Linked DNA regions of Bombyx mori. Each later gene encodes a partner of the first gene's protein in a complex. Links are inferred from orthologs where the notes say so. Each region holds a gene or a part of one and is shown on either strand. Other genes may lie near its edges.

Evidence for each region.
Region 2: unc-112-related protein (region 1) and LIM and senescent cell antigen-like-containing domain protein 1 share a complex: the UniProt entries of both Caenorhabditis elegans proteins name them as parts of the integrin containing attachment complex. The link is inferred for Bombyx mori from reciprocal best matches to the Caenorhabditis elegans genes unc-112 and unc-97.

What each region holds. Positions count from the first base shown.
Region 1 is NC_085131.1:10,832,834-10,839,619, reverse strand, and holds the end of unc-112-related protein, read left to right. Parts: intron 1-216; coding exon 217-435; intron 436-2,936; coding exon 2,937-3,173; intron 3,174-3,781; coding exon 3,782-3,982; 3' UTR 3,983-4,941; downstream 4,942-6,786. Other genes in the region: kelch-like protein 26, read right to left, coding at 4,963-5,192, 5,267-5,613, 5,793-6,786. UniProt on the Caenorhabditis elegans protein: Component of an integrin containing attachment complex, which is required for muscle development and maintenance. Probable regulator of cell-extracellular matrix adhesion. Required during initial muscle assembly to form dense bodies and M-lines.
Region 2 is NC_085112.1:7,029,398-7,035,873, reverse strand, and holds the end of LIM and senescent cell antigen-like-containing domain protein 1, read left to right. Parts: intron 1-1,011; coding exon 1,012-1,153; intron 1,154-1,980; coding exon 1,981-2,171; 3' UTR 2,172-3,533; downstream 3,534-6,476. Other genes in the region: ATPase H(+)-transporting accessory protein 2, read right to left, coding at 6,455-6,476. UniProt on the Caenorhabditis elegans protein: Component of an integrin containing attachment complex, which is required for muscle development and maintenance. Probably function in adherens junction.

The DNA.
Region 1 (6,786 bases):
ACCGTTGTAACTATACTGAGATCTTAGAACTTGTATCTCAAGGTGGGTGGCGCATTTACGTTGTGAATGTCTATGGGCTCCAGTGACCACTTAACACCAGGTGGGTTGTGAGCTCGTCCACCCATCTAAGCAATAAAAAAAGACGCATTAGAAGTTTCACTTCAATTATATAATAATATATTCTACGTTAATGCTTCTAATGTCGAAATATACCAGGAGGATCAGTACGCGGAGTGGGTGGCGGCGTGCAGACTGGGCTCGCGCGGGCGCTCGCTGGCCGACGCGCAGTTCGCGAGCGAGGCGGGCAGCGTGCGCGCGCTGCTGGCGCTGCAGCGGCCCCGCCCCGCCGCCGCGCTCTCCGCGCACGCGCTGCCGCACAACCTGCAGCCGGAGAACTACCTGGCGCCGCGGTACCTCAAGAAACTCAAGTCCAAGGTAAAAATTAAAAATACATCATCATCATTCTCCTGCCCTTCTCCTGGGCACCTGGCGCCTCATGCCAAACATTTTCTACTCTTCCATACTCCCCTATCATATACCATTTCTTCGCTCACTACCCTCTTACACTTAACGTCTTTCAGGCAATCCATCCATTTTTGAAGTAAAACTTCTTTAGAATCGTTGTGATTTCAAACTCGATGAAACGAAAAAATAAGTCCCTAGAGACACAAACACATAATTGTATGTATGATATCGCGAAGGCCTTCGACAGGGTCTGGCATAGGGCACTTCTATCGAAGTTACCATCTTACGGAATCCCCGAGGGTCTCTGCAAGTGGATCGCTAGCTTTTTGGATGGGCGGAGCATCACGGTCGTTGTAGACGGTGACTGTTCTGATACCATGACCATTAACGCTGGCGTTCCACAAGGTTCGGTGCTCTCCCCCACGCTTTTCATCCTGTATATCAATGACATGCTGTCTATTGATGGCATGCACTGCTATGCAGATGATAGCACGGGGGATGCGCGATATATCGGCCATCAGAGTCTCTCTCGGAGCGTGGTGCAAGAGAGACGATCAAAACTTGTGTCTGAAGTGGAGAACTCTCTGGGGCGAGTCTCCAAATGGGGTGAATCGAACTTAGTTCAATTCAACCCGTTGAAGACACAGGTTTGCGCGTTCACTGCGAAGAAGGACCCCTTTGTCATGGCGCCGCAATTCCAAGGAGTATCCCTGCAACCTTCCGAGAGTATCGGGATACTTGGGGTCGACATTTCGAGCGATGTCCAGTTTCGGAGTCATTTGGAAGGCAAAGCCAAGTTGGCGTCCAAAATGCTGGGAGTCCTCAACAGAGCGAAGCGGTGCTTCACGCCTGGACAAAGACTTTTGCTTTATAAAGCACAAGTCCGGCCTCGCGTGGAGTACTGCTCCCATCTCTGGGCCGGGGCTCCCAAATACCAGCTTCTTCCATTTGACTCCATACAGAGGAGGGCCGTTCGGATTGTCGATAATCCCATTCTCTCGGATCGTTTGGAGCCTCTGGGTCTGCGGAGGGACTTCGGTTCCCTCTGTATTTTGTACCGTATGTTCCATGGGGAGTGCTCTGAGGAATTGTTCGAGATGATACCAGCATCTCGTTTTTACCATCGCACCGCCCGCCACCGGAGTAGAGTTCATCCATACTACCTGGAGCCACTGCGGTCATCCACAGTGCGTTTCCAGAGATCTTTTTTGCCACGTACCATCCGGCTATGGAATGAGCTCCCCTCCACGGTGTTTCCCGAGCGCTATGACATGTCCTTCTTCAAACGAGGCTTATGGAGAGTATTAAGCGGTAGGCAGCGGCTTGGCTCTGCCCCTGGCATTGCTGAAGTCCATGGGCGACGGTAACCACTCACCATCAGGTGGGCCGTATGCCCGTCTGCCTACAAAGGCAATAAAAAAAAAAAAAAAAAAAAAAAAATAGGATTCAGCCGGCGAGAGAATGAGATTGAACACAGACGTTCTTTCTCAATGTAGTTTTTTTTAATACAGCGCCATCTATGAGATGTTTTTAATACTAACGTGTGTATGAAACCTCACTGAATTTTAATTTAGGATTATACGTGAAGTTAAAATATCAATTCACAGAGGACGCTACCTCATACTATAAAAGATGATTTACAATTATTTACTAATGACAAAATTTTACATACACTTATACATTTAGGATAATTGTATTTTAAATTTTGAAGGTTTCACTTCTACCACGTGTAAATTGCACACGTTTTTTGAAGTTATACTTCTTTAGGCGGGTTATGAAAAATTTAGAGTGAAATTTTACGATGCGCGCGCACCGTGACACAAAATTAACAGAGCGAAGTTGCCCACTAAATCGCTCATTACAATACGACCGACGTAACTTGGCGAGTCTGAATATAGCTGCAGCCGCATGTACACTCGTAAAAAAAAGTGTTATTAGCATCAATTTTTTAGTAATATAAATGACAAATTTATTATTTAATATAATTCATACTAAATATTATTAAATTGTTAACGTTAAATATTTATTATTAATTATTTAATATTTAAAAAAAAAGAAATAAATTTAATTCAAAATTCAAAATTCAAAATCATTTATTTCAACTTAGATGTCAGTATGACACACTTGTTGAATGTCAAAATACAAATAACAATGTTAACTCTACCACCGGTTCCAAAAAATAAATATAATAAATAATAAAAATAAAGTATAACTTCTTACGCGTGTACATAAGTACACGCACCCTTTTTGTTTTCTTAGCTCTACCTCTTCCTCTATATCCTTCCACATTCATTGTTAACACTCTCTTACCAACCTTATTTTCATTTCGTCTAATCACATGTCCATACCATTAAAATTAAAAATACAAAATTAAAATAAAAAAAAACAAAATTTAATTTTTTAATAAATGTCCTATTCGATATGAGCACGTCCATCATTAACATACAAAACGTATGTGTATTCGTTCACAGTTCACTCAACGCTTGCTCGAGAGTCACGCTAACGTCAAAGACCTACCCCTCCTCGAAGCGAAGCTCCAGTACATCAAGACCTGGCAGAACCTCGCCGATTACGGACAGACCTTGTTCGTGGTTCGGTTCATGGGCCACAAGAAGGACGAGATCATCGGCATCGCCAACAACAGGATCATGAGGCTGGACCCGCACACCGGAGATCACATTAAGACCTGGAGGTTCAGTAACATGAAGGTACTTATTTTCTTATAACATATTTCTATAACACTTTAGGACGTTTGGATCTCCATATCTTTTCACTTTATGAAACCATTGATATTGTAATTTAAAATTATTTTTGCAATGTTGCCTCATCAACAATACATATAAAAAAGTCGCACTAGTAAACTTCTACAAATTTTAATTCTTATGGATAACAAAACACATCTGTGATTAAAAGAAAATGGATCGCGAAAAATTACCCTAAAAATACATACATAAGTTTATAGCGAATATTTTTAATTATTATATTAATAATAGTTCCGTCATCCCAAATTGATAGTGACATTTAATAAGCAAATAAACATTTACCTTTATAGTTCAATGCAGATGGAAATTTGCGGCAAATCGAATATTTTCCTTAATAAATTTCCACAAACACTGCGCTTAGTGCGAGTTTTTAAACGTTCTCGATCGCGTCAAAGTTAACGCAAATTTGTATAGAGCTGGAACGTTTGCCTACGTTTGCCGCTAGGGGCGCTGTTCCAATTCCATACAAATTTTTAAGTTAACTTTTACGCTATCGAGAACCTTAAAAACTCGCACTAAGCACACGGAATTAACATTTCGAATTCTGGTTGCAGGCCTGGAACGTGAACTGGGAGATAAAGCACATGATGGTCCAGTTCGAGGAGGACAACATCATATTCTCCGTACAGTCGGCCGACTGCAAAGTCGTACACGAGTTCATCGGCGGCTACATATTCCTTTCGATGAGGTCCAAGGATGCCAACCAGACATTGGACGTTGAACTGTTCCACAAACTGACCGGCGGGTGGACGTAATATCTGACAACCCTAATATTTTTTTTTTATTATGCGACGCTCCTTTTGAGCAGATACATTGTTTAATTATATTATAATTTTTTTAATTTGAATTATTGCAGTTTCGAAGTGTCCAATAAAAAATCCGTCATTTATATTATTAGCACAGTAGAAACGTTCGTGAATACTATTATTTAAATTTTAAAATTAAAAAACCACTTTCGATGCTAACGCTAAAGTTAGATGCAAAATACGAGATACATCAAAAGGAAAATATTAAAACAATAAATTAATGAATCACAGTAAGTTTTAATGGCCTTCGGGAGTGCCTTGAGTTATAAAGGTAATAAGTAAAAGTATGAATGTAGTGTATTTTTGTACGAAAAATTAATTAATCAATATTTACTTTAAGGTCTTATATATTGTAGTGCTTCCAAAATTAACGTTATTTAGCGACCGTAATCTTATACCAAAAATGGTTATTTGATGTGGAAGCTAAATTGTATGCTGCTTTCAGCCGTCAGATTATAAAAATATATATTTAAATCTACTTTTGGAAAGCTAGAATTTATGGAAACTACTAAATATTTTATTACTACCAACCTATTGAAAAGTGCCATTATTACGCTTGGAATTGTCTTTGGTGCTTTTGTGGGCTTATGGAGAAATTTCGTAATTTAGACACGTATAAGGATTTATATAGTTATTTTATCATTGTAAATAACATTAGCTAGGTATTAAAATGTACACCACTGTTGGTCGTATCAATTATCAATATATATGCTGTATACCTTATTTAATAAAGTTATTGACAACTAGTCTCATCGAGATCGCATATAATGCCGTCGTATTTAAATTATACAATACGAGTATTAACAATGTAATTTTGCCTTTATTGTAATGTATATTGTAAAAAAAATATATTAACGTATTCACTTATTCAATAATATAGTGTTTATAATAAAATTAAACTAATAAAAGAGTGTTTTTTTTTCTTTTTATTAATATTGCGACAAATATCTTTTATGGTATCGAGAGATTGCAGTTCTTGTTGGAGGTATGTTGATGACTAAGGTACATGAGCCGGCAACATCGTTCACTTTGATTTTTGAATTTGAAACTGACCAAAGAACGTTGGGCATTTCATCATCAGTTTTCCCTTTGTACTCTTCAACTGCTAACGTATCTGACTGACCACACATTGGCCTGGTGAAAAAGAGCAATTTTGAACCTGGAAACACACTAAAGATTTATTTACAAATCTTTCACAACCTAAAATACTTTTTTTATTTACGTGAATTTTACCTAAATGGCAAATGGCAGCTGGCGGATTCGTAAAGTAAGTGATCAACTGCAATTTCGTATCTATGCCAGGTCGAAATCTATAGAGATGGCTAAAATAATTTTGTGTGCAATAAATGTAATTATTGAATGACGTCATACAATTTGGTCTAATATCTGTTAGTATGACTGTGGACCATCTATCAGTTTGCCCTAAGTCCTCATATTGGTAAATATTCTTCTGACCTGATACATAAATAGAATTATTGTGTACGCACACAGCTGGATTTTGTATTGTATCTGGTAATTTGGCAATCTTCCTGTGTGTTCTTTGTTTTAAATCATATATGACAGCCGTATCAAGTACAACTCTAAAATGAGAAAAGCAAAATTTATTATTGTAAAGTGATTTTATCAAAATTTCAAGGAACAAAACAATTTATAAAATATTACCTTTAGTAACTATTATTTCACAACAAAATAGGCACATAACTGCGAATTGTCTTGATGCTCAGAGAATACAGAGTTAAAATAAATAAAAGAAACCAACCTAAAACCACCTACACCTCCAATAATGAACAATGAGTCTCCCATAATAGCAACTCCACCATGTCTTCTCGATGGTAATTCAACACCGTGCAAGATCCACTCCTTACGGAAAGTGTCATATACTTTAACATCTTTCATGAATACACTCGTACCTCTACCATGTTCTCCACAAACCAGAACAAGTTTGTTGGCACCCCATGCTACCACATTCCAACCCCATAAGTTTTTCTCTGCAACTTCCAACCATTTTTCAAGGCCTGTATCTTCACTAAATGTATACATATTATGCGATATCAATTCAGGTTTTGTATCTTTGACTATCCAGACTGGTACTGTGGGTGTGAATATCAGCTTACGATTAACACTTGCACTTACTAACTTAAAAACTTCAATATATACCCTGGCAGTGAACTTTTCGCATAGTTCATCTTTCCTTTCAGTCAAAGTTATTATAGACAATTCACTGTGTTCAGTAATCTCTAAAATACAATCAACTACTTTAAGAGGCAAACTATCAACAAAATCCTTTATAAGGATTTTTATTTCTTTGATATCATTATGACTCAGTCTTTGTATATCTAAACATCCTAAAACTATCAATATAGCATCGGCCCCTGTTTCTGAATTTATAATCCATTCGTAACCAAATCTAAAAACCTCTAATTCATTATCAGTATCTAAATATGGATGTGATAAATACCAAAATAGTCTATGAATATTTAAAATGTACTCTTTTTTCATTTGTTTAAAATTAAGTAATCCAAATGCAGCACTCAGTTGCTCTAATTTAGTATAAGAAGAGTTTTCTGCTATAATCATTGTCTCCATCCAGTTTGAGACAGAAAGATGGAGATCTAAACAGTATTCAATCTGCTTAATTAATTCTGTTATTTGAAGAAAGTTCGCTGCGATTGACAATTCTCCAATAGTTGTCAGTGAGTATTCAGAGAGATCTATCAAACCTATTCTCATGTATTGAAGTATCATGTTCATTG
Region 2 (6,476 bases), on another chromosome or scaffold:
ATTCCCACTTAAGAGGATATGCAAGTGACTTCAGAATCTAATCTTTGGTTATGGCCGAAGCCACTTTTGTTGTATGAAAAGTGAAATGGAAAAAATAGCAAAACATCAATTGACTTGCTATCACGATACTTACAAATCTCTTATACACGACAATTCCTAAAATCCATAAGTTTCACTATTTGCGAAATTCATTAAAAGAGAGTGCTTCAGCATGATAAACAAATGTGTCATTGCAGCAGTTGACGACGTCCTATCCGTTACAAGTATTTATCGAAAATCACACACCATAATAGTAATCTCGGCGTCCAACTTCAGACACGAGGTTAAAGCCTCAATTGTATTGCATTAATAAAATTAACGATTTTAGATGCGACGAATCAGTTATTGCCATTGCCTAGTTCCAAGTAAATACGTACCTAACATGCTCACTTGAGCGACTTCCACGATGAAATAAAAATATAGTGTTTAACAAAAACCGAGAATCTTATAAATATGCATAATTATCGGCGGCAGTATTGGGAGCCCACACACGGATAAGTGTTACCGGTCTGCCTATCTATGCGGCGAAACCATCCAGCGTTTCGATTGGAAGGGTATGGTAGTAATTATAGAATTGAAACTTCGACGTTGCAAGGGGGTAGCGCAATTCACATTGCGATATCTATGGATTAGGTTTTCACTAGAGGTCGGAGTAGGTAGATTGATTTAAGATCGTTGACGTCAAATGTAGAGGATAATATGGATATGCCTCCAAAATACCGGAACTTCATATTTATTGCGATATTTGTTCCGGAATTTTGAAATTATCATGAATCTGTGTTTAAGGTGAAAAACATATTAAAAATATTAATCCATTATTCCATATTAGTGTATATTATAATATTTTGACGCAAGTATATAAAAAATCAATCTACCTACTTCGACCACTGGTTATCATCACCCGTTTGCTACCTGTTCCGTTTGAGTCGAAAGCAATAAAAATAATAATTTAAAGAAAATTTAATTTTTCAGCATTTCGTTTGTGCCAAATGCGAGAAACCATTTCACGGCCATCGTCATTATGAAAAGAAAGGCTTGGCCTACTGCGAACAACATTATCACCAGTTGTTCGGCAATTTGTGCTACGTCTGTAATCAAGTTATCGCCGGCGACGGTAACTATTCGATTATTTCATTTAAAATTTAATGATTTCGGCATGTGATATGATGAGGTTTCATAATTGTCTGTATTGTATTGGTTTATCGTTTAAGTACACTGTTCTGCGTAATAAGTAAGTTGTGTTAATAAATATAATTTTTAATAAAGAAAACAATCGAAAATGGCCAAGTGGAGTACACGCAATAGTTAAATTTAATAAAAATCTTTGTTTTTTAACTAAGTTTAATAATGCTTTAATATCGTGCGGGCTAATACTGGAAAAAGCCTACTGAGTTTCTCGTCGGATCTTCTCAGTGGGTCGCGATTCCGATCCGGTGGTAGATTTTGCGAAGCAACGTCGTCAGGTTAGAGCACCTATTCGCACAGTTAAGTTGACATAACCTCACGAGATTACCAGCATAAGTGGTAAAAGAACGGGAAAGATTTCTACACATAGCTGTTGCACAAAATAAGTTCTGAACACAATATTTGTGTTATTGGTTAATAATCATAAACGTTTTTATAATATCACAATTCACTTAAAAACTAATTATATTCAGTGTGATTTGAAATTATATCTTGCTTATTTAGCTGATTTTTTTATATTATCGAATGAATATATTCTTAACTTCTTAAAAATTTGTGTGCTAGTATGTATTATAATTATGAAGGTTTTAATGTGAATATAATATAGGTTATATATCACAAGTAACATGTTACACATAATATGTAACTTATTGTGTTGTACTGCTGATTGCTACTTCAATAACACAAACTGGTCGAATCAAAAATATCTATTTAATTTACCATTTTTTTTCTTAATAACTGTAATTTTATTCGTAGTATTCACCGCATTGAACAAGGCTTGGTGCGTACATCATTTTGCGTGTTCCGTTTGCGATGCGCCGCTGAGCACGCGTAGCAAGTTCTACGAATACGACGAGAGGCCCGCCTGTAGACGCTGCTACGAGAAGTTCCCGGCTGAACTACGACGTCGGCTACGTCGGGCTCATCACTACACGGTCCGCCGTTAACGAAAAATACAAGGAATAAACGACATTAATCTGTCTATACCAGTGGTGGGCAAACATTTTTAATGGCGGCCACAATGTTTAGGAAATACTAGAGGAGGGCCAGAATTATAGAAAAATGTTTTTTTTTCTCCAATAAATGAGATAATGAAAGCTCCAATTCGTCAGGGGTGTTTTGAGGGGAGTTTTGAAAAATTCGAAGATTTTCAATTATAAACGTCAGATTTTATTTTACGCGCCAAACTGCCGACTAGAATATTTGGGACGGACGGACTCTCGGCGGGCCGGATTAAAATACTTCCGCGGGTCGTACTTTGCCCATCACTGGTCTATACTATACTAAACCACTATACCACAGTAATGTCGGTGTTCACATTTTTTTAACATAATTAACTAACAAATTTAAAAATATAATAAATGTAGTATGCACTTGCCATTTGTGCCTTGAAGTACCTACTATGTAACAACTAAACTTATTAATGTAATATATTAAGTGTAAAATGTAATAATTAATTATTTTATACCATACAAAATATAATGATTATGAATGTTGTCTTTACTCGCACTGATCATTGACGCGTTCGCTATTTTGTTCAAGTGCAATGGATTTATTTATTGATTTGACTCCTTTAAAAATATTATTTTGAAGTCGCTCTTATCTATTTACGACCAGATGAGCTATAAGTCAATTTAACTCTATTGGCAATAAAAATGTATCTGTTGAATGTGCTTGTAAACTATGTTTTGAATTAAGTCAAAATATCAGTTTGGTCACGTGAACCTGAATTTAAAAGCACAAAATATAAACGTAGAACTATTTCTAAGTTAACTATTTATATTAATGAACTCAAAAGGCTTGGCTTCATAAGCCAAAACGGAAACAAATCTGTAGATATTGTACACTATATGAAGATTATTAATATAAATTTTCGATGATTTTTATAAACCAATTGAACTGAATATTACAGCAAATGTGTGGTCAAAATGACGAATTTGGATCTAATTATTTTTTAATATTAATTATATAAGATTATCTTAGCCAGGGACAATGACAGTGACAATCAGACCGATATAAATGATATTTGAAAAACCCTCTGAAATGATAAATATATTTCAAAAAATTATATTCATTCCATTTTGAAGAATGCTACTTTTGACTATAATATGCTACTGCATTGTATATTAATGTCACGTTTTTAGCATGCCTTACATTAGACGAAAATTATGATTTAAAAGAAAAAAGAAAACTTGTTTCGCACCCTTTGTAATATTGTTTTTAACCCTTTTAATGTATAATACAGATATTTTATAATTTAATTTAGATCTAAATATTTATGTAACACCAAATAAAGTTTTTTACTAACACGTTATTCTTTTGATTATTGTACAATGCACGGGATTAGGGTTTCGTCAAGTTACCAAATACAAAATCAAAATTTTGGGAAGTTTTGATTTTAAGATTCTAATTTGTAATTTATTTTGTTATAGACAGCGTGTTTAGTGCGACTTTTTTAACGTTCTCGCATGTAATTAGTATGGAGTTGGAACGTTTGTCCCTAGCGGCAAATTTATGTTACCTTTTACGCTATCGAGAACGTTAAAACACTCGCATTAAGCACATAGATAGGCTATATTGTCATTTTATAAGTGGTCGTTGTTGCTCATGAACATCAGCAAACAAAAGGGTAATAATAAAAATAAAATCATTTATTGTCTTTCACATTAAATAGAATAAAATACAAGAAAAATAAAAATTAAAAAAAAGACAAAAGGAGGTGGCTCAGCTAAGGCTGTTCAAGGTCGATAAATCGAACAGCGCTGATTATCCACAATACGAGGTTCTTTATTTTAAGCTATTGCATAGCTTTTTTTAATGTTTAATATGGCGTGGTCTTGTTTTAATATTAAATTATAATTGCATAAGTTGATAAAAAATGCATACCGCGGCAGTTCCCCAGTGCCACACGTTTGTTTTTTTTTTATTGCTTAGATTGGTGGACGAGCTCATAGCCCACCTAGTGTTAAGTGGTTACTAGAGCACATAGACATCTAAAACGTAAATGTGCCACCCACCTTGAGATATAAATTCTAAGGTCTCAGTATAGTTACAACGGCTACTCCACCCTTCAAACCGAAACGCATTACTGTTTCACGGCAGAAATAGACGAGGTGGTGGTACCTACCCGTGCAAACTCACAATAGGTCCTACCACTAGTAATTACGCAAATTATAATTTTGCGGGTTTATTTTTTATCACACGATGTTATTTTCCTTCACTGTGAAGTAAATCGTGAACATTCGTTAAGTACATATTTCATTAGAAAAATTGGTATCCGCCTGCGGTATTCGAACACCGTTGCATCGCTAGATACGAATGCACCGGACGTCTTACCCTTTAGGCGACGATGACTAAAATATCTTCTATATGGAGACAAATGAAAAAAAGTCCAGTAGATTCTTTCGATAAACTTCCATCATTCTCGGTGACTACCTCTCGCATTCAATGAATATGAGTTGACAAATACCTATAAGTTCTTTTTCCGATCCGGGGGACTCGACAGGACATGTTTAGTGCGACGGCGGCTTTGCAATCTCCTTCGCCTGGGTCGGATAATATGAGTTGAGGTGTTTAAATTGTTTCGTGCCTGACCCCGGTAATCATGGAGAACCATTTAGATGTTTTATCAATCGAATTGAGTCCAAGGTCTGTTACTTAGTTTTGTTTAAAATTATGCTCTTATCTCTTTATCATTTATTCGCGATTTCCGTAATACAAGAACACCGCAGTCCGGGTTACTTTAAAACTGTAGCTTAAAAAAAGAATTTTCTTGTGTCACACTGGTCCACAAACTACCATCAGTCCCGCCAGCGAATGCACGGACGTATTTATTATAACAGATATACCGACTGTTATCCGGATCATAATTTACCATGGTAAAAGTATTCTCCCTGTACATTCAAGTTATAAACTACTAGCGATCCGCCCTCGCTTCGTTTCGGAAACTGTAATTTATTATTGATTTCTCCACTATTTAATGGATGTTATTATACATATAAACCTTCCTCTTCAATCACTCTATCTATTAAAAAAAAAAGGAACAAAATCCGTTGCGTAGTTTTAAAGATTTAAGCCTTTGATTATATACACGATTTAAGCATACATAGGGACAGAGAAAGCGACTTTGTTGTCTACTATGTAGTGATGCTTATTCGAAATTTCAACTAAACTTTTTCATTCATTTTTGTGATTCAGAAACAAACTAACACACTTCCAAAATTACAATATTAGGATAGAATTGTATTTTAAATTATACAATTATATAATTACATTATATTATATAACACTAAACACCAATCTGGCAATGCAACACATGTATGTAATTTGTAATTATTTGTTGCGTAAGGATGATCTATGATTATTTCATCGTTAATTTTGATGCCTAATGACACTGGTATTCTATATACCGATAAAGTTACTTGGTAAATCATGAATAGTAGGTATGTAGCTTATGTTTTATTAATTTTTTTCACTCCATTTGCAAATAGAATAATATAATGTTCTCCGGAAATAGTATTTTTCGGGATGTAACAGGGTTAAGCTGCTACAGGCAATAAGCCTTAGCAGCTTGTAATAAGGCTTAAATAAATAGAAATTTGTATTCTGGAACATTTAATTAAACAACGTAACATTATATTTGCACACAATTAAGTTATAACAATTATACACTTATTAATCTATGTATACGTACAGACAAGCTATTCTGGCGCGATCTGTTTTATACCTGTGTGAAAATGAATAAGAAAGGAGTGGAGTGGCCATATTGGAGCGTTCAGGGTTTATGACGAGCAACCGCGACCAGAGGATGACAATTACTCCCCAGACAGAGTACTCAGCATGCCTATCTTACTATCTTCACACCGAAACAAATTATGTTTTATATAATTATAGTGAACTACTAAATAGAATATTAAATAATCCGTGCAAATAACAGTATCCGAACGTTAGTCGCCCTAACTTGTCATACCACAGTAGCAAGTGCAACACTTCCGCTCCTCGTCATCACTTCAGCGCGGCCAAGCTTCATGTCTGGCGATATCATGAAATCGGTAATATTTTTTTGTAGGCCCGCTTCGTGGGAATGCTAATTTATTGTAAAATGAAAAACAAATCTAGAATGTGACAATACTGATCGAATGTGTCTTTTGATAAAAAAAACATCCATAGAACTTATATAGAAATAAATATTGCACTAAGTTCTAATCTGCAAGTGCTGAAGCTGAAGACTTTAGTTGTCTTTCTTCATCCTA